4 linked regions of the Saccharomyces cerevisiae S288C genome follow. The protein of the gene in region 4 binds, or shares a complex with, the protein of the main gene of each other region. Each region holds a gene or a part of one and is shown on either strand. Other genes may lie near its edges. The genes, in order: RPC11, RPC17, RET1 and RPC53.

Region 1 (5,258 bases), 370 kb from region 4:
CAAGCGGCTGGTGAGATGGGTGTCACTTATCCGACGCTTCCAGGTAACTTCAATGCATACAATTCAATCTTTATTTCAAAGTCGTTTGGGTTCGCGACCACTTGGTTATTTTGCATTCAGTGGTTAACTGTGCTACCGTTGGAATTGATTACTTCTTCCATGACCGTCAAGTACTGGAATGACACAATTAATGCTGATGTATTCATTGTCATTTTCTATGTGTTTTTATTGTTTATCCACTTTTTTGGTGTTAAGGCATACGGTGAAACGGAATTTATCTTCAATTCCTGTAAGATATTGATGGTTGCAGGATTCATTATTTTATCAGTCGTCATCAATTGTGGGGGAGCCGGTGTGGACGGCTATATTGGCGGCAAATATTGGCGCGACCCTGGTTCATTTGCAGAAGGCAGCGGTGCCACTCGTTTCAAAGGGATATGTTATATTCTAGTATCTGCATATTTCTCCTTCGGTGGTATTGAATTATTTGTTCTTTCCATCAATGAGCAGTCTAACCCTAGAAAATCCACTCCTGTAGCCGCGAAGAGAAGTGTATATCGTATTTTGATCATTTATTTGCTGACAATGATTCTAATTGGGTTCAATGTTCCTCACAATAACGATCAATTGATGGGTTCCGGTGGCTCCGCAACGCACGCTTCACCATATGTCTTGGCAGCCTCTATTCACAAGGTTAGGGTCATCCCCCATATCATTAATGCTGTTATTTTGATATCAGTCATCTCTGTTGCGAACTCTGCCCTTTATGCCGCACCGAGATTAATGTGTTCCTTGGCTCAACAGGGCTATGCTCCAAAATTTTTGAACTATATTGATAGGGAGGGAAGACCTTTAAGGGCCTTGGTAGTGTGCTCTCTTGTTGGTGTCGTTGGCTTCGTCGCCTGTTCTCCACAGGAAGAGCAAGCATTTACATGGTTGGCAGCCATTGCAGGTTTGAGTGAACTTTTCACATGGTCAGGCATTATGCTTTCACACATTCGATTCAGAAAAGCGATGAAAGTCCAAGGAAGATCACTTGATGAAGTCGGCTATAAGGCCAATACCGGTATATGGGGTTCATACTATGGGGTTTTTTTCAATATGCTTGTCTTTATGGCCCAATTTTGGGTCGCACTGTCTCCAATAGGAAATGGCGGAAAGTGTGATGCTCAGGCATTCTTCGAGAGTTATCTGGCTGCCCCGCTATGGATATTCATGTATGTTGGATACATGGTTTACAAAAGAGATTTTACCTTTTTAAACCCACTGGACAAGATCGACTTGGACTTTCATAGAAGAGTTTACGACCCTGAAATAATGAGGCAGGAGGACGAAGAAAATAAAGAAAGGTTAAAGAACTCTTCAATATTCGTCAGAGTCTACAAATTTTGGTGTTAGTGCATAATAAATAGCATTTTAAATATTTGTATATTATATTCATAAACGAAGTAACACAAGCATGAAACTGTTGTTCGGACCGAACCACCTTACTCAACGTTGTCTAAATGATTTTGTGTTGCTCATGTCATAGCATTCAACTACAGATGAAGGTTTTTAGCGCCACTCCCATTAACATTTTCAAATCCGAGTATTGAAAAAAAAAAAAAAAAAAACTAGAGCAAGTGAACGAACGGGAAAATAAAAAAATGGCAGATGAAATTTTTGGACATCTATTATTACATGGCAAGATGATCGATATAAAATTCAAATCCAGTTCAAAAGAACAGTAGGAAAAGTTTTATCCAAAAGCATAACCGAGAATCTTCTTTCTGGAAAACGCATACGTTATATGGCTATATAAGCAAAAGAGTTCGCATTCATTGGTAAAACGTAAAATACATAATTTAGGATGCTTTCGTTTTGTCCTTCGTGTAACAATATGCTACTGATAACGAGTGGCGATAGTGGTGTATATACATTAGCATGCCGTTCATGTCCATATGAGTTTCCTATAGAGGGTATAGAAATCTATGATAGGAAGAAACTTCCAAGAAAGGAAGTTGATGATGTTCTTGGTGGTGGTTGGGACAATGTGGATCAAACCAAAACCCAATGTCCCAATTATGATACTTGTGGTGGTGAGAGTGCTTACTTTTTCCAACTACAAATTAGGTCAGCTGATGAGCCGATGACTACCTTTTATAAGTGTGTAAACTGTGGTCATAGATGGAAGGAAAATTAAGAAGTCCTTGAATATAAGATGAATTTTCTAAGAATAAAAAGAGTAATAAAAACATCTTAAAATTTGATTAGAAGGCATGATCGCATATTGAGAATGAAGGCTGCTGCCATATTTTTAGAGCAATAGATACTGATATAATTTTTGATCCTGCACGTACTGTGAACTTGCATCATAAATAGGACGCAATAATTAATATTTTTAAGAATAGAGATCCTGTATCAATTGAATTTGAAGAATTATGTAAAGGAGGTATAATAAATAGATAAAAAAATGTATAAATAAGTGGTCGAAATAATTAAATCATCATTGTCATTGAGATCATAAAATCGGTCTGCTAAAGAACCTTGAATTATTTAACCCACTCTCTTGGTTTGGTGGTAACTTCTAGTAATTTAGCTTCTCTGGAACCAGGAGCAGGGTGGTGGTTGTATAACCATGAAGCATGTTCAGGCAAACTCATCAAAATTGACTCAACTCTAGAGCCTGGGGTTCTCAAACCGAATTGGGTACCTCTATCGTAGATTAAGTTGAATTCAACGTATCTACCACGTCTAATGGCCTGCCATTGTTGTTCTTCCTTTGTATATGGCATATCTTTTCTTCTCTTGACGATAGTCAAGTAGGATGGCAAGAAAGCATCGAAACAGTCTTCAACCATCTTCAATATTTCTTGTGGGTCACGTTCATCATAATCGTCAAAGAATATACCACCAATACCACGTGTTTCCTTACGGTGGGTAATGTAGAAGTACTCATCACACCATTTCTTGAAACGTGGGTACAAAGCAGTGTCGTGCTTGTCCAAGGCATCCTTGTGCAGTTGGTGGAATAATTGACCGTCTTCTTCGTATAAGTAAGAAGGTGTCAAATCAGCACCACCACCAAACCACCAAGTTTGTGGGGTCCCATCTTGGTTCCAAGTTTCGAAGTAACGGTAGTTTAAGTGCGTGGTTGGAGCGTGTGGGTTAACGGGATGAATGACCATACTTAAACCACAAGCGAAGAACTTGACACCGTCGGTAACTGGCAAACCAGTCTTTGGATCTTCTGGTAGACGCAGATTCTTATGATCAGCTTTCATGGCTGAAACGGCCGCTGGGCTCAATTGACCATAAACAACGGAGACATTAACACCACCTTTTTCGAAAGTTGTACCGTCTTGGATAACCATAGAGGTACCACCACCACCATCGTTACCACGGGTCCAAGTATCAGCGTGGAACTTAACAGTATCGATGGATTCCAAACCTTGCGTGATTTCAGCTTGTTTGCGACGGATAAGAGCTTCCATTTGTTGTCTAATTGGAAGATTCCTTGGATCTTGAGGGGCAGGCATCTTTATGTGTATTTAATTGTGTTCGAAGAGTTCGGTTTGCTATGTTTGATTTGCGAAAAGAAAGCTTTTGATATGCTCAAAAAAAGAAAACCCGGAGAATAAAAGCTTAACAAAGAAAGACAATAGGTGGAAAAAAAAAGGAAAATCCGTGTCCTTATATAGCCTTTCGAAACGAGAACAATGGGCAAAGCAAGCTTTATCTTCGGATCGTCCGTCAGCGCTTTGGTTGCAGTCTTATGCTTTGTTCAAGCTGGAGCGTTATTGGTGGGAGAACCAGAAAAGGCGAAAGCGTAGCGTTCTTTGAAATTTGGCTTCTGTTCCTGCGACTCGTTTAAAAGTAGAAGGGCCCGCGGAGCCGCTGTGAAAGATTTCTTTTACTCTTTCAGCGCAGAAATCTCGCAGGAGCTCAGCAGAAAGTGCCTATGACGGTAATCCCAGGGGCTAATGGTGTGAAGGCACTTTCTAAACAATTGAAATTAAAATACCGTGCCTATAGTAACTTTTTTTTACGCTGTGAACCGTTCAACACACAGTAAAAACTCCGCAGGAAATGGTTTGAAGAATCTTAATCACGAATTAGGCGTATTGTTTTTCCCAACAGTGAACGAGAGGACAAACTCCAGAGGATTTGCGGGCTTGATGATAAAATGTATTGTTGAAAAGATCGCGAATGCAACAATTACGGTGGGGAGAAATATCAACAAAAGGGCAAGGCTATGCCTTCTGGAAAGTGGCAGACTTGCACTTTCCTCGAAAAGAAAAATGACCGCAAGATCCGGTTGTTCTCAACCTTCTACATTAAGACATACTTCTACGATTTTCGAATGCCGAAGCAACTATCGCTGAAATTTGTCATGTCAAAATTGCTACTGGGGGAGAAGAATATATATGGAAGTAATTATTATTTACGTTGCTGAAATGGCAGGTTAGACGCATGTTTTGCAAAATAAGTGGTTTTGAAAAGAATTGATACTAGGAATCGGTGCAATACCTTCTACCTTTCTTAATAGGTATTCTTGAATAATCTACCTCACTTTCTGTCCCAGATACGAGATGTCGAGCGCCTCGAAAATAGATATCGTTTATTACGTTAGATACGGAAAGGTCTACGTGTCATAATAAATTGCATCTGGATTGCGATTTTGGGTCATGCCTAACTGGGAAAATATTTACATCTCCATGTTCTCATTCTGCCTTTGCTTTCCTTCAAAACATGGTTTTCAATTCAACCTAGGGTCTACCGCGGAACCATATGTACGCCGTAAATGCGAGTGTTCTTGAAAGGTAGTAATGTGTTCCCTCTCAATATGTAAGTCCTTCAAGAGTATGCACTTGCAGTTGCACTGTTTCGGGTAATTATCCGTCATTAAGAAAAAGATGCTTCCACTTTCTCGTGTTTTTACGCACAATCGTGCCATTTAACCGGAAATAGACTCCATTGCATTGATTGCTCTCATAAAAATTATAGCCCGCGTTTGATACTTGTTTAAAATAGGTGTCGACAAAGTTAGTTTCTGTCTTCCATTTAGTTTTTACAATATGACACGTCAAATAAATCTTTTCGATTTAGTTAAAAGAGTTACCTGGCGATAGCCTTCTGGTAAAACACCTATTCATAAAACAATCTTAAAAAACCAAAAAATTACCAAACAACTATGTAGGACATATTTTTACAGTTCATAAAAACGCTTCGAGCTGCCGATATCGGTATCAAACACCAAAATATACATAGTGCTGGTT
Region 2 (5,412 bases), on a different chromosome or scaffold from region 4:
TCGAATTCCTTATTAGTGTTGAAGACTAACACTGGTAAATGCTTCAAGATGATCAGCTTCAATTCTGTAATGTTATCAGGGTGAACCCAATACTTTGTTGTCTGTCTAACGAAATTTTGTTGCTTCCCACCAGCAGATGAGTCTCCCTTGATTGGGCGACCTGAAGTTCTGGCAATATCATATAGTTGGGAAATTTTAACGACTAGTTCGTCATAGTTTTCCTTGAAAAATGGTTTAGAGTCTAATCTAACTTGGAAAACTGGTTTCAAGATAAAACCTGTCTTCTTATCGTGTTTCTTGATAATCTTTTGGAAACCAGTGTAGTTTAGTCTCGAAAACTTTGCTAGATCATGAACATCGGCAATGATATCACTTAGTTCTTCTTCTAGAATCTCAAAATCTAGCTGAGTAGGAGGATTATTGGAGTCTAACAAACGAACAGTATGTTGCACTTGTTCTTGAACCTCTTTTACACGTCTAAAAACTTCACTATGCTTAACTTTGCAAAATGTGTAAACCTTGTCTAACTCGATCTCCAAAGATTCTAAAAAATCTGTTTCCAATTCTTGCGTCCACTGACCGTTATTCTTAGATAAGTTATCTTCTAGCTCAGTCTTCAGATCATCATAACTAATATAATAGTAGCTGTACTGTCTAATAAGAGACTTGCTCAAGTGCTCACCAAACTTCATAGCTGTTCCTGCCTTGTTATGCTCTTTTATTGGCCGATTTGATTGTTAGCCTGTAACTTCTTTCTGATTGCCTCAATATATAAAGATAGTATTGCTTCTTTTTCATTCACGTGTGCAGCCACGTGCGGATGAATAATAAAAATGCAACATATATGCATAGTGCGGTGTGTGAAAAAGTGAACCTACAAGTCAGTAGCTCTCCGTCAAAACGCAGACAAACCAATTTTTTGTCGGTGTTTTCCTGTGCAATTCCAGTAAGTAACATATTAATACAATTTCCTATGATGGGTTACGTGGAAAGCAGAGAGGCAATTGCGTGATTAATTCGGAATATTAGCAACGCTTCTCTTAGTATGAAAAAGCTCTTCGAAAGACTATATTTTTGAAAGCTTTAATATGTTTATAAGTTAAATATTGTCGAACTTGTTTGCGACAGCTCTTGAAGTCACGGTGCGTCTTTTTTTACTCGTCAACTGGTATAACAATGCGTATGACAATTATTATATAACTATTACTTTATTCTTGCCATGAAGGGATTACTGTAACGCCCTCAACTAGTATACCCTTTTAAGCCTCGACAAAAATACAGAATAAACAAAAGTTAAATCTCACCGAAGTTGCTTGTGGTACTGGCTTTACAGACGTTTATAACGCAGCACTAAATTTCCAAATAATAACCTTCCTCCAATGGAAATAAAAAAAATCGAGACTAACCCAAAGTGTGCGCAATAAACTCTAAAAAATAAAGTATATTCTTGTAAATATTTCTATATGCTTAAGTTCAATAATACATGCATACTCATTGAACATGTTATATTGTTACACAACAAAGTAATTTCTGTTTTTCGGAAGTGCCAGTCCAAATCAATTCAAAGCACTGTACACTCATGCGTAGCCAGAGATGATCTCTAGCATTTCCTCAATTGTTTTTTCGTCAAATCTTGCATCACACTCCTCCACTATGGAGTAAAGGTGGACCATATTGGCAGGAAGTTGATTGACAATCTGCAGTTTTTCAGCCTTGAATAATTTAAAAGAATTCAGTTTAGTCATCAACTCAGCAAAGCTTTCATCGCTCATTTTGCTTATACCCGATTTTTCAGCATCTTTTGCACCACTGCTTTCTCGTTCCTCGCCTTCATCTTCCTGGTTGATAAAGTTTTTGTTTATACTGAGATAGTTAACCACATTGCGAGTAATACCTTGCAATTCAGGATGATTGTAGGGCCTATTCTGCTTACCTTTCGAGCGACTTTTCTTCAGCGCAGCCAAACTTTTTTGGTCCCAAAGATGTTTTTTTTCTAGATCTGTTAGGAACTTCAAGACTTCATAGTCACTTAAAAATGCATTCCTTTCCTCAAGAACTTTCATAACGTTTAAAGTTTTTTGTTTAAGTGTCGATTTTTTCAGTGGTGGGTGTTGGATTCACTCAACTTCTCTTCTACTGTGGCTGTTATTTGCTTAACTTTCATAGATCGATGGCATTGAAAAAAATAATTTTTCAGGCAATTTTCCTTTTTTTACTTGGTATAATTTTCAGGAATTGAAGGATTTTTCAACGAATTAGCCTTGTTGGCGCAATCGGTAGCGCGTATGACTCTTAATCATAAGGTTAGGGGTTCGAGCCCCCTACAGGGCTAATATTTTTTTCTTGCCCACTTATTCAAGGAATAAGTGCTAATTATCTTTCAACCTTGCAGCGAAGCTTTCTTTTGTATTTCATCTCATAGAAGGTGAAATATCACACTATTTTGTAAATAGAAATAGTATATGTAGTTCGTGGAGAACCAGACTGCAGACTATCAATAAAAGGTTACATTCTGTTCAACTCATGTGACCAGAAGTTTGATTAAGCAAAATTGTTCTTCTCCTTAACATATGATATTATCTGAAGGAATCTAGAAAAGCTTGATCATTCCGCAGAATAACCTATCAAAATGATTGGGAGGACCATTTTATAATTCATGCTACATATATAACATTATACAGTAAACCCTTTTAATGTAATGGATTGCTCATAGTTGTGTACACGAACTGTTTGCTAATAAGCTTGTTTTAGCTTCTATTGCTAAAGAAATTACTGACGAAGAGTTTATGACAAGGAAAGATGAACGAAAGTACAATTTACCGGTTAGTGTCAGCGCCAAAGGATCCACGCACTAGCAAAATAATGAAAATTGTGCCGGATATTCAAGACTAAGAGATGTACAAGTTGAAATATAAGTAACCCTCGGCATAAACTACTCTGTCGTAAGATCATTAACATGTCGATTTGCCTGTGACATTTAACGATTCACAAATAGCGGAATTAAATGATACTTTATCTATCCTAAAACGCACGAAGCATACTTTAGAATGCATGCTCTTAGTAAGTATGCATTGCCGACTTCTCTGTAAGACTTTTATCTCGTTTCAGACCTAATCTGCAACAAGAGAAAGGGAAGAGGACGGTATTGTTACGACGTTATTGGCGGCTAGGAAAGAGAGAATCACCATGAACGATATGGTGCAAAAAAAATAAAAAAATAAATTGAAACGGACAGGAATTGAACCTGCAACCCTTCGATTGCAATCTTATTCCGTGGAATTTCCAAGATTTAATTGGAGTCGAAAGCTCTACCATTGAGCCACCGCTTCAACTTTTGTTGAAAATTTAGGCTAACATTTTCTAATAGGTGACATTACAAAATCCAGTCTTACAGTTATGCTTAATATTGACCAGTAGTCATATTACTGGCATATTATCTGTTAGAATAGTGACATACTATTCTTTATTACTGATGAATTTGTAATTGTGAAGCAATTAGACGCAAACGTCATTGATGTGTCAGGATGGAGAACGATATAGACTATGTGATAATGTAAAGTTAAATATCTGTTACTTGAACAATTAACTTGACGTTTGTATATGTAAGGATATGGGTCATTACATAGAAACTATAGTAAATAGTCTCAGTATTGTTATATTTGTCATGTTTGATATGACTAATCGGCGCATGTTTTACACCTCTTTTGTATAGTATAAGAAGATCTGCTTTTATTCTTGAACCCTACCACTATCTCGCCAAGTTTTTAAAAGATCCACTGCGATCATTGAAGATTCTATTTCAAATAAAAATCAACTATTACCTATCATCTAGCATTCATATTACTTGTATATTATCATATCTGTAAGAAGATGACATGAATGATGAGAAATAGTCATCAGACTTAATAAAAGCCGAAATTCAAGGTCGATAATGTAATAGGATAGGGTGTTGAATGACAATGTATAAAAGGAACGAAGACAGAGTAATACTATTATGTAAGAAATACCGATTCCCTTGTGAGTATATAAACATAACCATTTCATTAAAATAATTTATTCAATGGTATGTATGATATTATAATAACATACTTATACTTGTCTCACTCTGTTCATAAACGCAACAATACAATTACTTTTGAATATTATCTTTAATAAATACACTTAGTAGTTACCAATAAATAATAAAATCCTTTACTAATACTAATATAAGGATTTCTATGTTCTCGAGGAGAACTCGTAGTATGTTCTGTATCCCTAATATTGTAGCCCTTAACAACAATGGAATACGAACAATTTTCTTAATATTCGGCTATTTCTGAAATATACATATTCACGGGATACTAGGAGGTCAGCATGTTACAAATTTCATGATAGTGCATCAAGAGACCCTAAAATTAATATCCTTTATGTGCGTATTGCTTTCATGGTAGTAAATTATCACTGTTTTCATCTAGACGTGGGACGGTAACATTTTCGATAAATATCAAAAGATGGCAGTCATTGTATAGAATACCACAATTTGTGAGCATCTCTGAGGTTTTTTACAAGCTTCCGTAACTCATACAGACTTCTATCGTCCTACTCTAGTATTATTTACCTATTCATAACCACTTTTTTATCCTTCTATTTAAATTTATAGATGCAAAGGGCGGAAAGAATTGACTGGAAAGTAAACTAAATATAAAAAATATCGCCAACTTATTCATACAATATCGTAGCAACTGACAACTTTTAAAAATCTGCAAAATTCTTTGTAGTGTTCCTTAATAATGTTTAAGCTAAGGTTTTTTATTAAGAGGAAAATATTGCATAATTCTATAATTTACATCAGTACAGTAGTAACATATTATCCAATTATCTATAGTGCTTTTGCTTTTTGAAGGCGCTTCCTTCCTTCGAATTATTTCTTTCTCTTGAGTGCTTTTCTGGCTTTGGCTGTAGCGGTTTAGAATTTGGAAATATTTCAAATTCTTGCTCCTTAATTAGTTTTTTCCAATCCCACATTTTTCTAACATATAATTCCAGTTTCCAATTCTTCCACACTTGCCTGCCATAAATACTATTCTTCACCTTCTCAGTTTCTAAAACTAATGCTCTAGCAATACGCTCCTTATATAATGTTAATTTTGCCGTAAATTCCCACAATTTGTCCATTATATGAGAGCCATATACATTGCATGCCAAATTTACAGACTCTTTAGACAGTATGTTCAATAGCATTTTTCTCTTAATTATGTCCACCCTAGTAGTTTGTAGTACGTGCTCAACAACATGCGAAAATACTCCATGGTAACACATTTGTATCAACCTTTCCTCAGGCAGAGCCAACATGCTGTCAATGGTAATATTCAAAAACTTGTCGTCGTAGTCAATTAATTGTTCCAAGAAAACTGATCGTCTTCTTTCTTCTGC
Region 3 (8,383 bases), on a different chromosome or scaffold from region 4:
ATTGGTTAGGAAATGGAAAAAACAACTTCATGATTCTCCAAGCTTAAAATTACTAAGGAACATAATCAGTGCTTTCAAGGTTGCTGTAAATTTGAACAAGGAAGAAAACATCGAAGACTATAAATATGCTATCACTGATGAGAAAGCATTCCACGAATTGATGTTCATGGTCTTGAAAGATGTACCACAAGCGATTCAAAAGATGGCCCCATACAAGATTGTAAAAGGCGCAAGGACCTTACCAAATGGAGGTAACGTCTCCAGGGTCTCGTCCATTGTCAAGTCGCATGCTGGCTCTTTGTTGATTTTATTGAATGATATTACTAATACGGAAACAGCAGCATTAGTTCTTCATTCTGTCAACGAATTGATGCCTTATCTTTTATCATACAGAAGGATCTTAAAGGAGCTTATTAAATCAATTGTTGGAGTATGGTCTACAACGAGAGAATTAGAAACCCAGATTGCTTCTTTTGCCTTTTTGATCAATACCACCAAAGAGTTCAAGAAGTCTATGCTAGAAACAACCTTAAAAACAACGTACTCCACTTTTATCAAAAGTTGTCGTAAAACGAATATGCGTTCTATGCCACTGATTAATTTTCAAAAAAATTCGGCAGCTGAATTGTTCGGTATCGATGAAGTTCTAGGTTACCAAGTTGGATTTGAGTATATTAGGCAATTGGCAATTCATTTAAGAAATACAATGAACGCGACAACTAAAAAATCCAGTAAAATTAATTCCGCAGAAGCTTACAAGATTGTATACAACTGGCAATTCTGTCACTCCTTGGATTTCTGGTCTCGTGTACTATCGTTTGCTTGTCAACCAGAAAAGGAAAATGGCAGTGAATCTCCTTTACGACAATTAATTTACCCATTGGTTCAGGTTACTTTGGGTGTAATCAGATTAATCCCAACACCACAATTCTTCCCATTAAGATTTTATTTGATTAAATCACTTATTAGACTTTCTCAAAATAGTGGTGTTTTTATTCCAATATATCCTTTACTTTCTGAAATTTTAACCTCAACGGCTTTCACTAAGGCACCCAAAAAGAGCCCTAACTTGGCTGCTTTCGATTTTGAGCACAACATCAAATGTACGCAAGCTTATCTGAATACAAAAATATACCAAGAGGGTTTGTCAGAACAGTTTGTGGACTTATTGGGCGATTATTTTGCTCTGTACTGTAAAAACATTGCATTTCCTGAACTTGTAACACCGGTTATTATCTCTTTACGCCGTTACATCAAGACTTCAACTAATGTCAAACTTAACAAACGTTTATCAACTGTTGTAGAAAAATTGAACCAAAACAGCACATTCATCCAAGAAAAGAGATCAGATGTTGAATTTGGGCCAACAAACAAATCTGAAGTTTCAAGATTTTTGAATGATGTAGCTTGGAATAAAACACCTTTAGGTTCTTATGTTGCAGTACAACGTGAAGTTAAGGAAGAAAAGGCCAGATTAATGAGAGAAAGTATGGAAGAACAAGACAAAGAAAGAGAAACAGAAGAAGCAAAATTATTAAACAGTCTGGAAAGTGATGATGACAACGAAGATGTTGAAATGTCAGACGCTTAACAACTCAGCAAGATTTGATTTTTTGTCTTGAATTCAATAGTTAAGTCTATAAATGTGTAAAATAAAGAAAAGTCTTTTTTAAAGCGTATATATCATTGTGCTCACATGTGCTAACATGTGAGCACTCCAAGCTTTCTCTTGTCAGCTGGATATTTTTATATTTTGGCCGGTTTATGGATAGAAAACACGTCAAACGTTCGATGGATCTTATAAAAAGTAATGATGTAAAGCAAGGTACAAAAATGAAAGAAGTACGGTTTACTGTTATATAATTTTCGAAATCGTTCAACTCTCTTAAAGTTCCTCACGAAATAGATATGATTGCTAACATAACGCAAAATTTAGTACAAGATATATGATTTCTTACTGCTGGAAGATATCTTCCAATCTTAATCTTGGGGCTATGTTCATGGATAATAATTCCTGGAATAACAGTTTTGCTGCATATGGAATAGTCATCTTAATAATATTCTCAGCACTTTTGCAGGTAGTACACCAACCACTATAGCCCATTAATCCACATTTATCGCAGACATCAACTTCAAAAGCATCTGAACTAATCATCAACCTTTCTAACAGCAATTGTGAAGCACCATACGCGATTACACAATCCCTCTCCATCTCACCCAACCTCAGACCACCATCTCTAGATCTACCCTCAGTTGGTTGACGTGTCAAAACAGCCCTTGGACCACGAGCTCTTGCATGCATCTTATCTAAGACCATATGCTTTAACTTTTGATAGTAAATGGGGCCAAAAAAGATGTAAGCCTGTAAACACTCACCTGTTATACCTGAATATAACATATCCTTACCGGAATAGTTGAAACCTTGGTCTACCAAAATCTTAGACATATCTTCAAGTTTAGAACCACCAAAACAAGTACCATATTCCAATGTACCATTCAATACACCAGCTTTACCCGATATCAGTTCGATCATTTTACCCACAGTCATACGAGATGGAAAACCGTGAGGGTTCATGATAATGTCTGGAACTATACCTTGATCGTTGAAGGGCATGTCTTCTTGCTTTACAATAATACCACAAACACCTTTTTGACCATGTCTAGAAGAAAATTTGTCACCTAATTCTGGCCTTCTGTTTTGTCTTAGCAAAACTTTGATTAAAGCTTGATCGTTATCCGAAACAGACATCATAACTTGGTCAATGTGAGAAGGTTCTGGACCTCTATATATTACCGGAGCTTCCCTATATTGAGTTTGGACGTTTACGTTGTTTGGGTTTGGGGCGTCTGCTGAGTTAGTTGGAACTGACTTATTTATATAAATTTGTCCACTTTGGACCTTCATACCCACCTCACCTAGACCATCAGGACCAAGAGATTGATGTTGCCAGATAGGATCTCCATTTTCATCAACTCTCATACCACCGATGATATCTTGGGTATGGTTCGCATATCTTTTCAAAACAGTGGTTGTCTTTCTACGTGTTTCGCAACGGCCGAAACCTCTATCGATGGATGACTTATTCAAAACCAAAGCATCTTCAATATCATAACCAGAATAGGACATGACAGCAACCGTAGCATTTTGACCAGCAGGTAATTTATCATAATCGATCAATTCAATTGTTTTGGTTTTCACCATTGGCTGTTGTGGATAAGTCATCAAGTATAATAATGTATCTATTCTCTTGAATTGATTGTAGGCGATTGCACCAATCGCTTGCTTACCCATCGCACATTGATATGTGTTACGAGGGGATTGGTTATGATGTGGATATGGAATTAAACCAGCAACAGCACCTAAAATTGTGAATGGCTCGATTTCTAAATGTGTCATCGAGGGAACTATATCTTTTTCATACAATGCAATGTAAGAATCGTTTTCTTCATTGACATCTAAATATTCCACCAATCCGAGTTTCAAAAAATCATCGAAATCTAACTCACCATCTAATAATTTGCGTAAATGAATATCTTTCACGCGAGATTGACCATCAGAAACAATGATTAATGGCCTACAAATTCTACCACCATCTGTTGCAATATGAACTGCCATTTGGTGAGAATTTGAATAAATTGAGATAAACTCCGACACTTTACCTGTTCTTCTCAGATGTCTGAACTGAGTAACGAATTTTGTTGGGAATCTGATTGAACCAATTAAAGTACCATTCAAATAAACACCATAGTTTAAATGCAAGGATGCACTGTCAATCAATGTTATGTCTTCTACACCAAGAACATAACATAATTTCTTTATAGGTTCCTCTTCGTCATCTGTAGTAATATGAGTCATTAATGCTAAATTTTTCACTAGACCACACGCCTCACCTTCTGGAGTATCTGCAGTACAAAGCATACCAAATTGAGAAGGTTGTAATGCTCTTGGACCGGAAACTTTTCTTGATTTTTCAAACTGAGAAGAAATTCTTGTCATCATACCCAATGCGGAAATATAAGATAGTCTGGAAAGAACATGTGTAACACCCGCTCTTTCCATCTTAAATCTTTTAAGAGACCAATTACCGGTTGAGATAGCTCTGTTCAGTCCGCTGGTGATGTTATTTGAATGGACGTTAATTGACAATAATGCATCGTATTCCATAGCCCTATTTGGTTTTTTCAAGACCTTATCAATGCTTAGTTTAAAATCATTATTAAACTTTTTGAACAAATCTTCGAACAATAAAGAAATCAATTGGCCTGCTAATTCAAGACGTTTATTACCAACATAATCTCTATCATCAATCATCTTAGGGTTATACATTGCCATCACCACCCTGCGCGTCATCATGGCAATATATAAAGCCTTTTCTCTAAAGTCAAGGGCTTCCACAGTCAAATGTGCAATAACCGTGGTAGCAATGGCCTCTATACCCTCTTGCAGGATAGTCAGTTTTTGCCTTCTCATTGTCTTTACTTTTGCACCAATATACTCTAAAGCTTGCTGTTGTGTGTAAATATCTAATTTCGAAGATTCTTCCAAATTGACTGCAAAAATATCTTGGTAGCTACTATCATTACCGCAAACCAATTGCATAATTTCTAAATCTGATAAAATACCACAGGCTTTGAGAACAATAGCAATAGGAATTTCTTCAGCGATGGAATTGTGCTTCAAATAGATCTTGCCATTTTTGGTAATGACATAAGTCTTAGATTTTCTTTCATGGGTAGATGAAGTAACGGAGGCCTGAACAATGCCTTTCTTCTCATCTGCCTCCACAATAATACGATTCTTGGATAATTGTTCTTGAACAAGAATTACTTTTTCGGTACCGTTAACAATAAAGTAACCACCAGGATCCAACGGACACTCGTTTAATTTAGCCATTTTCGATTCATCAGCATCATATAGGATACATTTATTAGATCTCAGCATGATCGGCATCCTACCAATTTCCACGTCTTTATGCATAATAATGTTTCTACCTCTAGTGTATTCTATATCCACGTAGATTGGTGCAGAGTATGTCATATCTCTAAGCCTACACTCATGAGGCGGAGTCAAATAATCTTTTGTCGAAGAAGAGGACTTCTTACCCACTCTAATATCGACGTACTTCAGGTAGAATTCTGGATCAACATCACTCAAAATTAATTGATTTGCCTTTATAATTTTTTTTAAATCTGTATCAACGAAGTAGTTAAATGAGTCAAGATGTTGCTTCACCAAACCTTTAACCTTCAAGAATGCTGGTAAAAGGTGCCACTTATCCTGAGCAGTATTGATTTCATCAGTTAGTTTCTTACCTTTATATACTGGTTTCAATAAATCATCAAAAGCCTCGTCTTTCACATGCTTATGTATATGAGTTTTCCGTCTTTTTGTCGCAGCAACCATTTTTCAACAAGCACTAAGTCCCTAGCGATTAAAACGCTCAATTATCAACACTTTAAACTCCCTTTAATTCTTTCCTAACTTGTCCATATATCATCACTTAAGCATAGATCGAAAAATTTTCAGCTCATCTCACAATTACAATTTCGTCCGACGTGATCTGGAAAATACGCGCCTGCTTTATGGAACTATTTATATCTTTATGTGTAGTACACCTAACAATAAGGAATATATAAAAATAATGCACCTATTAAAACCTTTGGGAAGTGCCAACTTTGAATCATCATCTTTCTTTGAACACCGCGCTGCGACCTTTGACAAGAAAGACGAGATCACTCAACCTGACAGACCCGATTCCCCTGGTTCCCCTCTTCCGCTTTGCACAGCCCTTTTCGCTTAGTTTGGAAGCCTAGGTCCGATCCCCAGTGCTATTAATAGTTTACAATAAAATAGGATCGACGTTGCTATTGATGGATCGCATAGCACAGCAATATCGTAATGGCAAAAGAGACAATAACGGCAATAGAATGGCTTCTTCCGCTATATCGGAAAAGGGCCACATACAAGTCAATCAAACTAGAACACCTGGTCAAATGCCCGTCTATAGAGGTGAAACTATAAATCTGTCTAACCTTCCCCAAAATCAAATTAAACCGTGCAAAGATTTGGACGACGTTAACATACGGCGGAACAACTCTAATAGGCATTCTAAAATACTTTTACTAGATCTGTGCGCTGGCCCCAATACCAACTCATTTTTAGGCAATACCAATGCTAAGGATATCACAGTTTTATCGTTGCCGCTACCCAGCACTTTGGTGAAAAGGTCGAACTACCCGTTCGAGAACTTACTAAAGAATTACCTTGGATCTGATGAAAAGTATATTGAGTTCACAAAGATCATCAAAGATTATGATATTTTCATTTTCAGTGATTCGTTTAGCAGAATTTCGAGTTGTTTAAAGACAACTTTTTGCCTCATTGAGAAGTTTAAAAAGTTCATCTGCCATTTTTTTCCATCTCCTTATTTGAAATTCTTTCTTCTCGAAGGCTCTCTGAATGATAGCAAGGCCCCCTCATTAGGAAAAAATAAGAAAAATTGCATCTTGCCCAAATTGGATTTGAACTTGAATGTAAACTTAACTTCAAGGTCAACTTTAAATTTAAGAATAAACATACCTCCACCCAATGATTCAAATAAAATATTTTTACAGTCTCTGAAAAAGGATCTAATTCATTATTCTCCTAATTCTTTGCAAAAGTTTTTCCAATTCAATATGCCTGCTGACTTAGCACCTAACGACACGATTTTACCGAATTGGCTAAAATTCTGCTCCGTAAAAGAAAATGAAAAGGTAATATTAAAGAAACTCTTTAACAATTTTGAAACTTTAGAAAATTTTGAAATGCAAAGATTAGAGAAATGCCTGAAATTCAAGAAAAAGCCTTTACATCAAAAGCAGCTATCACAAAAGCAGAGGGGTCCGCAATCCACGGATGATTCAAAATTATATTCTTTAACTAGTTTGCAACGACAGTATAAAAGTTCTTTGAAAAGCAACATACAGAAAAATCAAAAGCTAAAATTAATTATACCAAAAAACAACACATCTTCTTCGCCATCACCATTATCTTCCGATGATACTATAATGTCACCAATAAATGATTACGAACTTACTGAAGGAATTCAGTCTTTTACTAAGAATAGATATTCTAATATCTTACCTTACGAACATTCAAGAGTAAAGTTACCTCACTCCCCGAAACCACCTGCAGTTTCTGAAGCATCCACAACCGAAACTAAAACAGATAAGTCATATCCGATGTGTCCCGTAGATGCAAAAAACCACTCCTGCAAACCGAACGACTATATCAATGCGAACTATTTGAAGCTCACGCAAATTAATCCTGATTTCAAGTATATTGCTACCCAAGCTCCGCTTCCTTCTACGATGGATGATTTTTGGAAGGTTATTACTTTAAATAAAGTTAAAGTAATAATATCATTGAATTCTGACGATGAATTGAATTTAAGAAAATGGGATATTTACTGGAATAATCTGTCATATTCCAACCACACTATCAAACTTCAGAACACCTGGGAGAATATTTGCAATATTAATGGCTGTGTTCTCAGAGTCTTTCAAGTCAAGAAAACAGCTCCACAAAATGATAATATCAGTCAAGATTGTGACCTTCCGCATAATGGTGACCTTACTTCCATTACCATGGCTGTATCCGAGCCGTTTATTGTTTACCAATTACAATACAAGAATTGGTTAGATTCATGCGGCGTAGATATGAATGACATCATTAAACTACACAAAGTCAAAAATTCGTTATTGTTTAACCCGCAAAGTTTTATTACAAGCCTCGAAAAGGATGTTTGCAAGCCTGATTTGATAGATGATAATAATAGTGAGTTACATCTCGATACAGCAAATTCATCGCCACTATTAGTCCATTGTTCTGCAGGGTGTGGAAGAACAGGTGTTTTCGTTACCTTGGATTTCCTACTAAGTATTCTTTCACCTACAACAAATCACTCAAACAAGATTGATGTTTGGAATATGACTCAGGACCTTATCTTTATCATAGTGAATGAATTAAGAAAGCAAAGGATTTCAATGGTACAGAATCTAACTCAATATATCGCTTGTTATGAGGCATTATTAAATTATTTTGCCCTGCAAAAGCAGATAAAGAACGCGTTACCTTGTTAATAGAATTGTTTTTCTCCTATTATACAAACACTTTTCGTTTTGATAAATTACATAACCTCTCGTTGCATTTTATTTCATTATATAGATACATTAAAAATAAAAAAAAATAAATCTACAATTAACAATCTCCTCATAAAGAAACACGGGTTTTTTTACGTACTCGCAACTTCATATAATGTTTTATTTTTGCGATATCAGCTGCATATCTATATGTCATATTTATAAAATCGCAGAGATGTCAGTACCCATAACTGAATAA
Region 4 (6,070 bases):
ACCATTATTATCATGCATACCACGTTTACGAGCTTCATCCAACAGACGTTGCTGCCTTTCAAATAAACGTTCCTTATATGGAATATCATCATCACCTTTGAATCTATCCGTCTTTTTATTTTCTTGTTGATCAATTTTCGAAGTATAGAAACGCAAAGTTCTTCTACGAGCTTTTTTGTCTTGTGCGTCCACATCAGCAATCTCAGATTCAATGAAATCATCAGCTTCAGGCATTGATGATGTTTTCGGTTTAGAATGCAGACGTGATTGTGCTACGTACTCTTCAAAATCGTCAATATCAACATCTTCTTCTTCTTCTTCTTCATCGCTTTCTCTTTCTTCTTCATCAATTTCTTGCTTTTGTTTTCCTCCATCCTCTGCATCAGAATCTTCACTGTTTTGCAACTCATTCAGCTTCTTTTCGTTAAAGGCCTCAATGTTTGCGGTTTCTTCACTTTCAGAACCATCTCCTTCATTCACATCAAAACTAGATGGCAATTCGCTGGCTTGCCTCCAAATCTCTTTTGTCGTTAAAATCTTTTCCATGACCGGATGTCCCTTCATAGATGTGAAATCTTCATTATTATGGAGTTCGTGCAACAAGATACTATAGTAACATGATATTGTGCCTAGGTAACTTCCAAGTGCAATTAGCTTTAATTTATTGAACTCATTTTCCTCAGATTTCTTTAATTCGTCAAACTTTGGAGCTAATTCTGTGAATTCTTTTGAAAGTGGAGCAAATTCAGGAAACATTGTCCTTAAATAGTTATCCCTTGCTTCGTCATCCATATTTAGAATATCCGTTATGGAAGTTTTAGTATCAGCCTGCTTGGTCGAGTTCTTAAATTCACCCATGTCAAATTCTTTGGCACTTTTGACCCACTCTTCTTCTTCTTCTTCATCTAAGTAATCGTTCATATTAAGTTCTTCCAGATGCTTCTTTTGTTGTCGTAAAGCTTCCTTTTCTATTTCCTTAGCAGCTTCGTCATCATCTAAATCATCAGCCCCATAATATTCTCCTTTTGTGGACCCCCAGGCATTCTCGTTGTCTAACATACCATTCTCTTCATCTTCCTCAGGAAGCTGGTCAGTTTCTAAGTTTCTACCAAATATTTTCTTATAGGCTGCAGCACCATCTAGTTCCTCTTCCTCTTCTTCTTCCTCATCTTCTCTTTCATCTATTGACTCATCATCTTCATCCATGGCTAAGACTTCTTCCTCATCTTCGTCTTCTAACAGAGAATGGTCATCATCTTTATTACTGTCGCCAAAGGTGGATTGTCCAAGTAAAACCTTTTCCCTTTTAGAAGCAAAATCATCAACTTCGTTTAAACCATACGGATTAATCTCATCCCCAACTTCAGAGGTCTTAGTTCTGTTTGAGCCTTTGCGTACCATATTATTCTATACACCCACTCTAATATGTTTTCTCTTCCTCCAAAACTTTTTGTATAAAAGCATCAGTGAGATGAGCTATGATGAGATGAGCTTCATTATTGAATTTTTTTTCATTGCAGAAGCGCAGTTTGAAAATTTTTCATCCGCCCTGCAAAGTCCAATTTTTTGATCAGCAGAAGATAATGACCAGAGAATTATGGTATTCAAGAGAACAATTCAAAAGAGGACAGCTAGAAAGATATTGAGGTATTTATAATTTGCTAGACTAACCGAAAGTCGAAGCGTAATCTTGTTTTTTATTAAGCGGGATAGCATTCATTAAGTATGAGCAGTAATAAAGGAAATGGGCGCTTGCCATCATTAAAAGATTCCTCCTCCAATGGAGGAGGATCTGCCAAGCCCTCATTAAAGTTTAAACCAAAAGCAGTTGCAAGAAAGTCCAAGGAAGAAAGAGAAGCAGCTGCGTCCAAAGTAAAGCTAGAGGAGGAATCTAAGAGAGGTAATGACAAGAAACATTTCAATAACAAGAATAAAAGAGTAACCGGCGCTGGCGGCCAGCAAAGGCGAATGGCCAAATACTTAAATAACACACACGTTATCTCTAGCGGTCCATTGGCGGCTGGGAACTTTGTAAGTGAGAAGGGTGATTTGAGAAGAGGATTCATCAAATCAGAAGGAAGCGGGTCATCTCTTGTGCAAAAGGGCCTGGAAACTATTGACAATGGTGCTGAGAGCTCTGAGAATGAGGCAGAAGACGATGATAATGAAGGTGTAGCGTCCAAATCTAAGAAGAAGTTCAATATGGGAAAAGAATTCGAGGCACGCAATCTCATAGAGGACGAAGATGACGGCGAAAGTGAAAAGAGCAGTGACGTCGACATGGATGACGAAGAATGGAGATCTAAACGGATTGAACAGTTATTCCCTGTGAGACCTGTCCGCGTAAGACACGAAGACGTTGAAACTGTCAAAAGAGAAATACAAGAAGCTCTTTCAGAAAAGCCAACTCGTGAACCAACCCCCAGTGTGAAGACAGAGCCTGTCGGAACCGGATTACAATCTTATTTGGAAGAAAGAGAAAGGCAAGTCAATGAGAAACTGGCAGATCTTGGACTTGAAAAGGAGTTTCAATCGGTTGATGGGAAAGAAGCGGCCGCTGAGTTGGAATTATTAAATGCAGATCATCAGCATATATTACGAAAACTAAAGAAAATGAATAATAAACCAGAAAGATTCATGGTATTCCAGTTACCTACTAGGTTACCAGCTTTTGAAAGACCCGCTGTGAAAGAAGAAAAAGAAGACATGGAAACCCAGGCTAGCGACCCTTCAAAGAAGAAGAAGAATATTAAAAAGAAGGACACGAAGGATGCTTTGTCTACTAGAGAACTTGCCGGCAAGGTTGGGTCTATACGGGTTCACAAATCTGGAAAACTTTCCGTGAAAATTGGAAATGTGGTGATGGATATTGGCAAAGGTGCCGAAACCACATTTTTACAAGATGTTATAGCATTAAGTATCGCTGATGATGCATCCTCAGCGGAACTTCTAGGCCGTGTGGACGGTAAAATAGTAGTCACACCTCAAATCTAATCGCACTCGCATCTGTCGAGTATATAAATGAATATACACAGTCATAAATACTTCTAGAACAAATTACACTAATTAAGATGCTTAGATTCCCATTCAAAAGGTACTATTGACGTCTTGTCTTCTACAATTTCTCATCCTCTTTGAACATTGGTAATGTTATTCTAGTTATTGTTACCCAGTTTCGGAACTTTAGGGGAGCCACACTTTAAACAAAAAGAAGCGCCATAACCACCGTGAAGTAATGAGTATCTCACTTTGATAAGAAGACATTTAAGAACAGCCTGAAATATCAAAATCACGGAATTATTAGGTTATGGAGAGAGATGAATACCAGTTACCCAACTCTCATGGGAAGAATACTTTCTTATCGCGAATATTTGGTTTACAATCGGATGAAGTTAATCCTTCTCTTAATAGCCAGGAGATGAGCAACTTCCCTTTACCAGACATAGAGAGAGGCTCATCTTTATTGCATTCTACTAACGACAGCCGCGAAGATGTAGATGAGAATGACTTACGTGTTCCTGAGTCTGACCAAGGCACTAGTACAGAAGAAGAGGATGAAGTAGATGAAGAGCAAGTCCAGGCGTATGCTCCACAGATTAGTGATGGATTGGATGGAGACCACCAGCTAAATTCTGTAACGAGCAAAGAAAATGTACTTGAAACGGAAAAAAGCAATTTAGAAAGACTGGTTGAAGGCTCTACCGATGATTCTGTGCCCAAAGTCGGACAGCTTTCGTCAGAAGAAGAAGAGGATAATGAGTTCATAAATAATGATGGATTTGATGACGATACGCCCCTTTTTCAAAAAAGCAAGATTCATGAATTTAGCTCTAAGAAAAGCAATACTATAGAGGACGGTAAACGACCTTTGTTTTTCAGGCATATCTTACAGAATAACCGCCCTCAACGTGATACCCAAAAGCTATTTACTTCGTCGAACGCCATTCACCATGATAAGGACAAGAGTGCAAATAATGGTCCCCGTAACATTAATGGTAATCAAAAGCATGGCACTAAATACTTTGGTAGTGCTACACAACCTCGGTTTACCGGTTCGCCCTTAAATAATACAAACAGGTTCACTAAATTGTTTCCATTAAGAAAGCCAAATTTACTGAGCAATATATCCGTTTTAAACAATACCCCGGAAGATAGAATCAATACGTTGAGCGTGAAAGAGCGGGCTCTGTGGAAATGGGCAAACGTAGAAAACCTCGATATATTTCTTCAAGATGTTTACAATTATTATCTGGGAAATGGGTTCTATTGCATCATACTGGAAAAAATATTGAATATATGCACTTTGCTTTTTGTTGTTTTTGTTTCTACATATATGGGTCACTGTGTTGACTACTCCAAATTACCGACTAGTCACCGGGTTTCGGATATTATTATCGACAAGTGTTATTCTAATAGTATAACGGGGTTCACAAAGTTTTTCCTTTGGATGTTTTATTTCTTCGTGATTCTCAAAATTGTTCAACTCTACTTTGATGTTCAAAAATTATCAGAATTACAAAACTTTTACAAGTATCTTTTAAATATATCGGATGACGAACTTCAAACTTTGCCCTGGCAAAATGTGATACAGCAGCTAATGTACTTGAAGGATCAAAACGCTATGACGGCAAATGTTGTGGAAGTCAAAGCCAAGAATAGAATCGACGCGCATGACGTTGCCAATAGAATCATGAGAAGAGAAAACTATCTCATAGCACTTTACAATAGCGACATCCTGAATTTATCCTTGCCTATTCCATTATTTAGGACCAACGTTCTGACAAAAACACTAGAATGGAATATTAATTTATGCGTCATGGGCTTTGTGTTCAACGAGTCCGGATTTATTAAACAAAGTATTTTAAAACCTTCTCAAAGAGAATTCACGAGAGAAGAATTACAAAAAAGATTCATGCTGGCAGGATTTCTTAATATTATATTGGCACCATTTCTGGTCACATACTTTGTTTTGCTTTATTTTTTCAGATATTTTAATGAGTATAAAACTTCTCCTGGATCTATTGGTGCTCGTCAATACACACCAATTGCTGAATGGAAATTCCGTGAGTACAATGAACTTTACCATATTTTTAAGAAAAGAATAAGTTTGAGCACAACCTTAGCTAACAAGTATGTTGATCAGTTCCCGAAGGAAAAGACCAATTTGTTTCTGAAATTTGTTTCCTTTATTTGTGGATCATTTGTGGCCATTTTAGCTTTTCTCACTGTATTCGATCCAGAAAACTTTTTAAACTTTGAAATCACCTCGGACAGATCTGTCATTTTCTACATTACTATTCTGGGTGCTATATGGTCTGTAAGTAGAAATACAATAACCCAGGAGTACCATGTTTTCGACCCCGAAGAGACGCTCAAGGAGTTGTATGAATATACACACTATCTACCAAAGGAATGGGAAGGAAGATATCACAAAGAGGAAATCAAACTAGAGTTCTGTAAATTGTACAACTTGAGAATAGTAATACTTTTGAGGGAACTCACTAGCCTGATGATAACACCGTTTGTACTTTGGTTTTCGTTGCCCTCGTCAGCCGGCAGGATTGTAGATTTCTTCAGAGAGAATTCTGAATATGTGGACGGATTAGGTTACGTTTGCAAGTATGCTATGTTTAACATGAAAAACATAGACGGTGAAGATACACACAGCATGGATGAAGACAGTTTAACGAAAAAGATTGCCGTGAACGGAAGTCATACACTCAACAGTAAACGAAGGAGTAAATTTACCGCCGAAGACCATAGCGATAAAGATTTGGCAAATAATAAAATGTTACAATCATATGTATATTTTATGGATGATTATTCCAACAGTGAAAACTTAACAGGGAAGTACCAATTGCCTGCAAAAAAAGGCTATCCGAATAATGAAGGCGATTCATTTCTCAACAATAAGTATTCTTGGAGAAAGCAATTTCAGCCAGGTCAAAAGCCGGAGCTATTTAGAATAGGTAAGCATGCTCTCGGCCCTGGCCATAATATTTCCCCTGCTATATATTCTACAAGGAATCCCGGCAAGAACTGGGATAACAATAATAATGGTGATGACATT

The links.
Region 1: RPC53 (region 4) and RPC11 share a complex: the UniProt entries of both Saccharomyces cerevisiae proteins name them as parts of the RNA polymerase III (Pol III) complex.
Region 2: RPC53 (region 4) and RPC17 share a complex: the UniProt entries of both Saccharomyces cerevisiae proteins name them as parts of the RNA polymerase III (Pol III) complex.
Region 3: RPC53 (region 4) and RET1 share a complex: the UniProt entries of both Saccharomyces cerevisiae proteins name them as parts of the RNA polymerase III (Pol III) complex.

What each region holds. Positions count from the first base shown.
Region 1 is NC_001136.10:544,902-550,159, reverse strand, and holds RPC11 (DNA-directed RNA polymerase III core subunit RPC11), read left to right. Parts: upstream 1-1,849; coding exon 1,850-2,182; downstream 2,183-5,258. Other genes in the region: amino acid transporter BAP3, read left to right, coding at 1-1,398; HEM13 (coproporphyrinogen oxidase), read right to left, coding at 2,532-3,518. UniProt on the Saccharomyces cerevisiae protein: DNA-dependent RNA polymerase catalyzes the transcription of DNA into RNA using the four ribonucleoside triphosphates as substrates. Component of RNA polymerase III which synthesizes small RNAs, such as 5S rRNA and tRNAs.
Region 2 is NC_001142.9:412,708-418,119, forward strand, and holds RPC17 (DNA-directed RNA polymerase III subunit RPC17), read right to left. Parts: upstream 2,064-5,412; coding exon 1,578-2,063; downstream 1-1,577. Other genes in the region: VTC4 (Vtc4p), read right to left, coding at 1-692; RNA-binding RNA processing protein NOP9, read right to left, coding at 4,855-5,412. UniProt on the Saccharomyces cerevisiae protein: DNA-dependent RNA polymerase catalyzes the transcription of DNA into RNA using the four ribonucleoside triphosphates as substrates. Specific peripheric component of RNA polymerase III which synthesizes small RNAs, such as 5S rRNA and tRNAs.
Region 3 is NC_001147.6:728,054-736,436, forward strand, and holds RET1 (DNA-directed RNA polymerase III core subunit RET1), read right to left. Parts: upstream 5,405-8,383; coding exon 1,955-5,404; downstream 1-1,954. Other genes in the region: mRNA-binding ribosome synthesis protein NOC2, read left to right, coding at 1-1,591; tyrosine protein phosphatase PTP2, read left to right, coding at 5,872-8,124. UniProt on the Saccharomyces cerevisiae protein: DNA-dependent RNA polymerase catalyzes the transcription of DNA into RNA using the four ribonucleoside triphosphates as substrates. Second largest core component of RNA polymerase III which synthesizes small RNAs, such as 5S rRNA and tRNAs.
Region 4 is NC_001136.10:181,618-187,687, forward strand, and holds RPC53 (DNA-directed RNA polymerase III subunit C53), read left to right. Parts: upstream 1-1,725; coding exon 1,726-2,994; downstream 2,995-6,070. Other genes in the region: rRNA-processing protein SAS10, read right to left, coding at 1-1,401; autophagy protein ATG9, read left to right, coding at 3,308-6,070. UniProt on the Saccharomyces cerevisiae protein: DNA-dependent RNA polymerase catalyzes the transcription of DNA into RNA using the four ribonucleoside triphosphates as substrates. Specific peripheric component of RNA polymerase III which synthesizes small RNAs, such as 5S rRNA and tRNAs.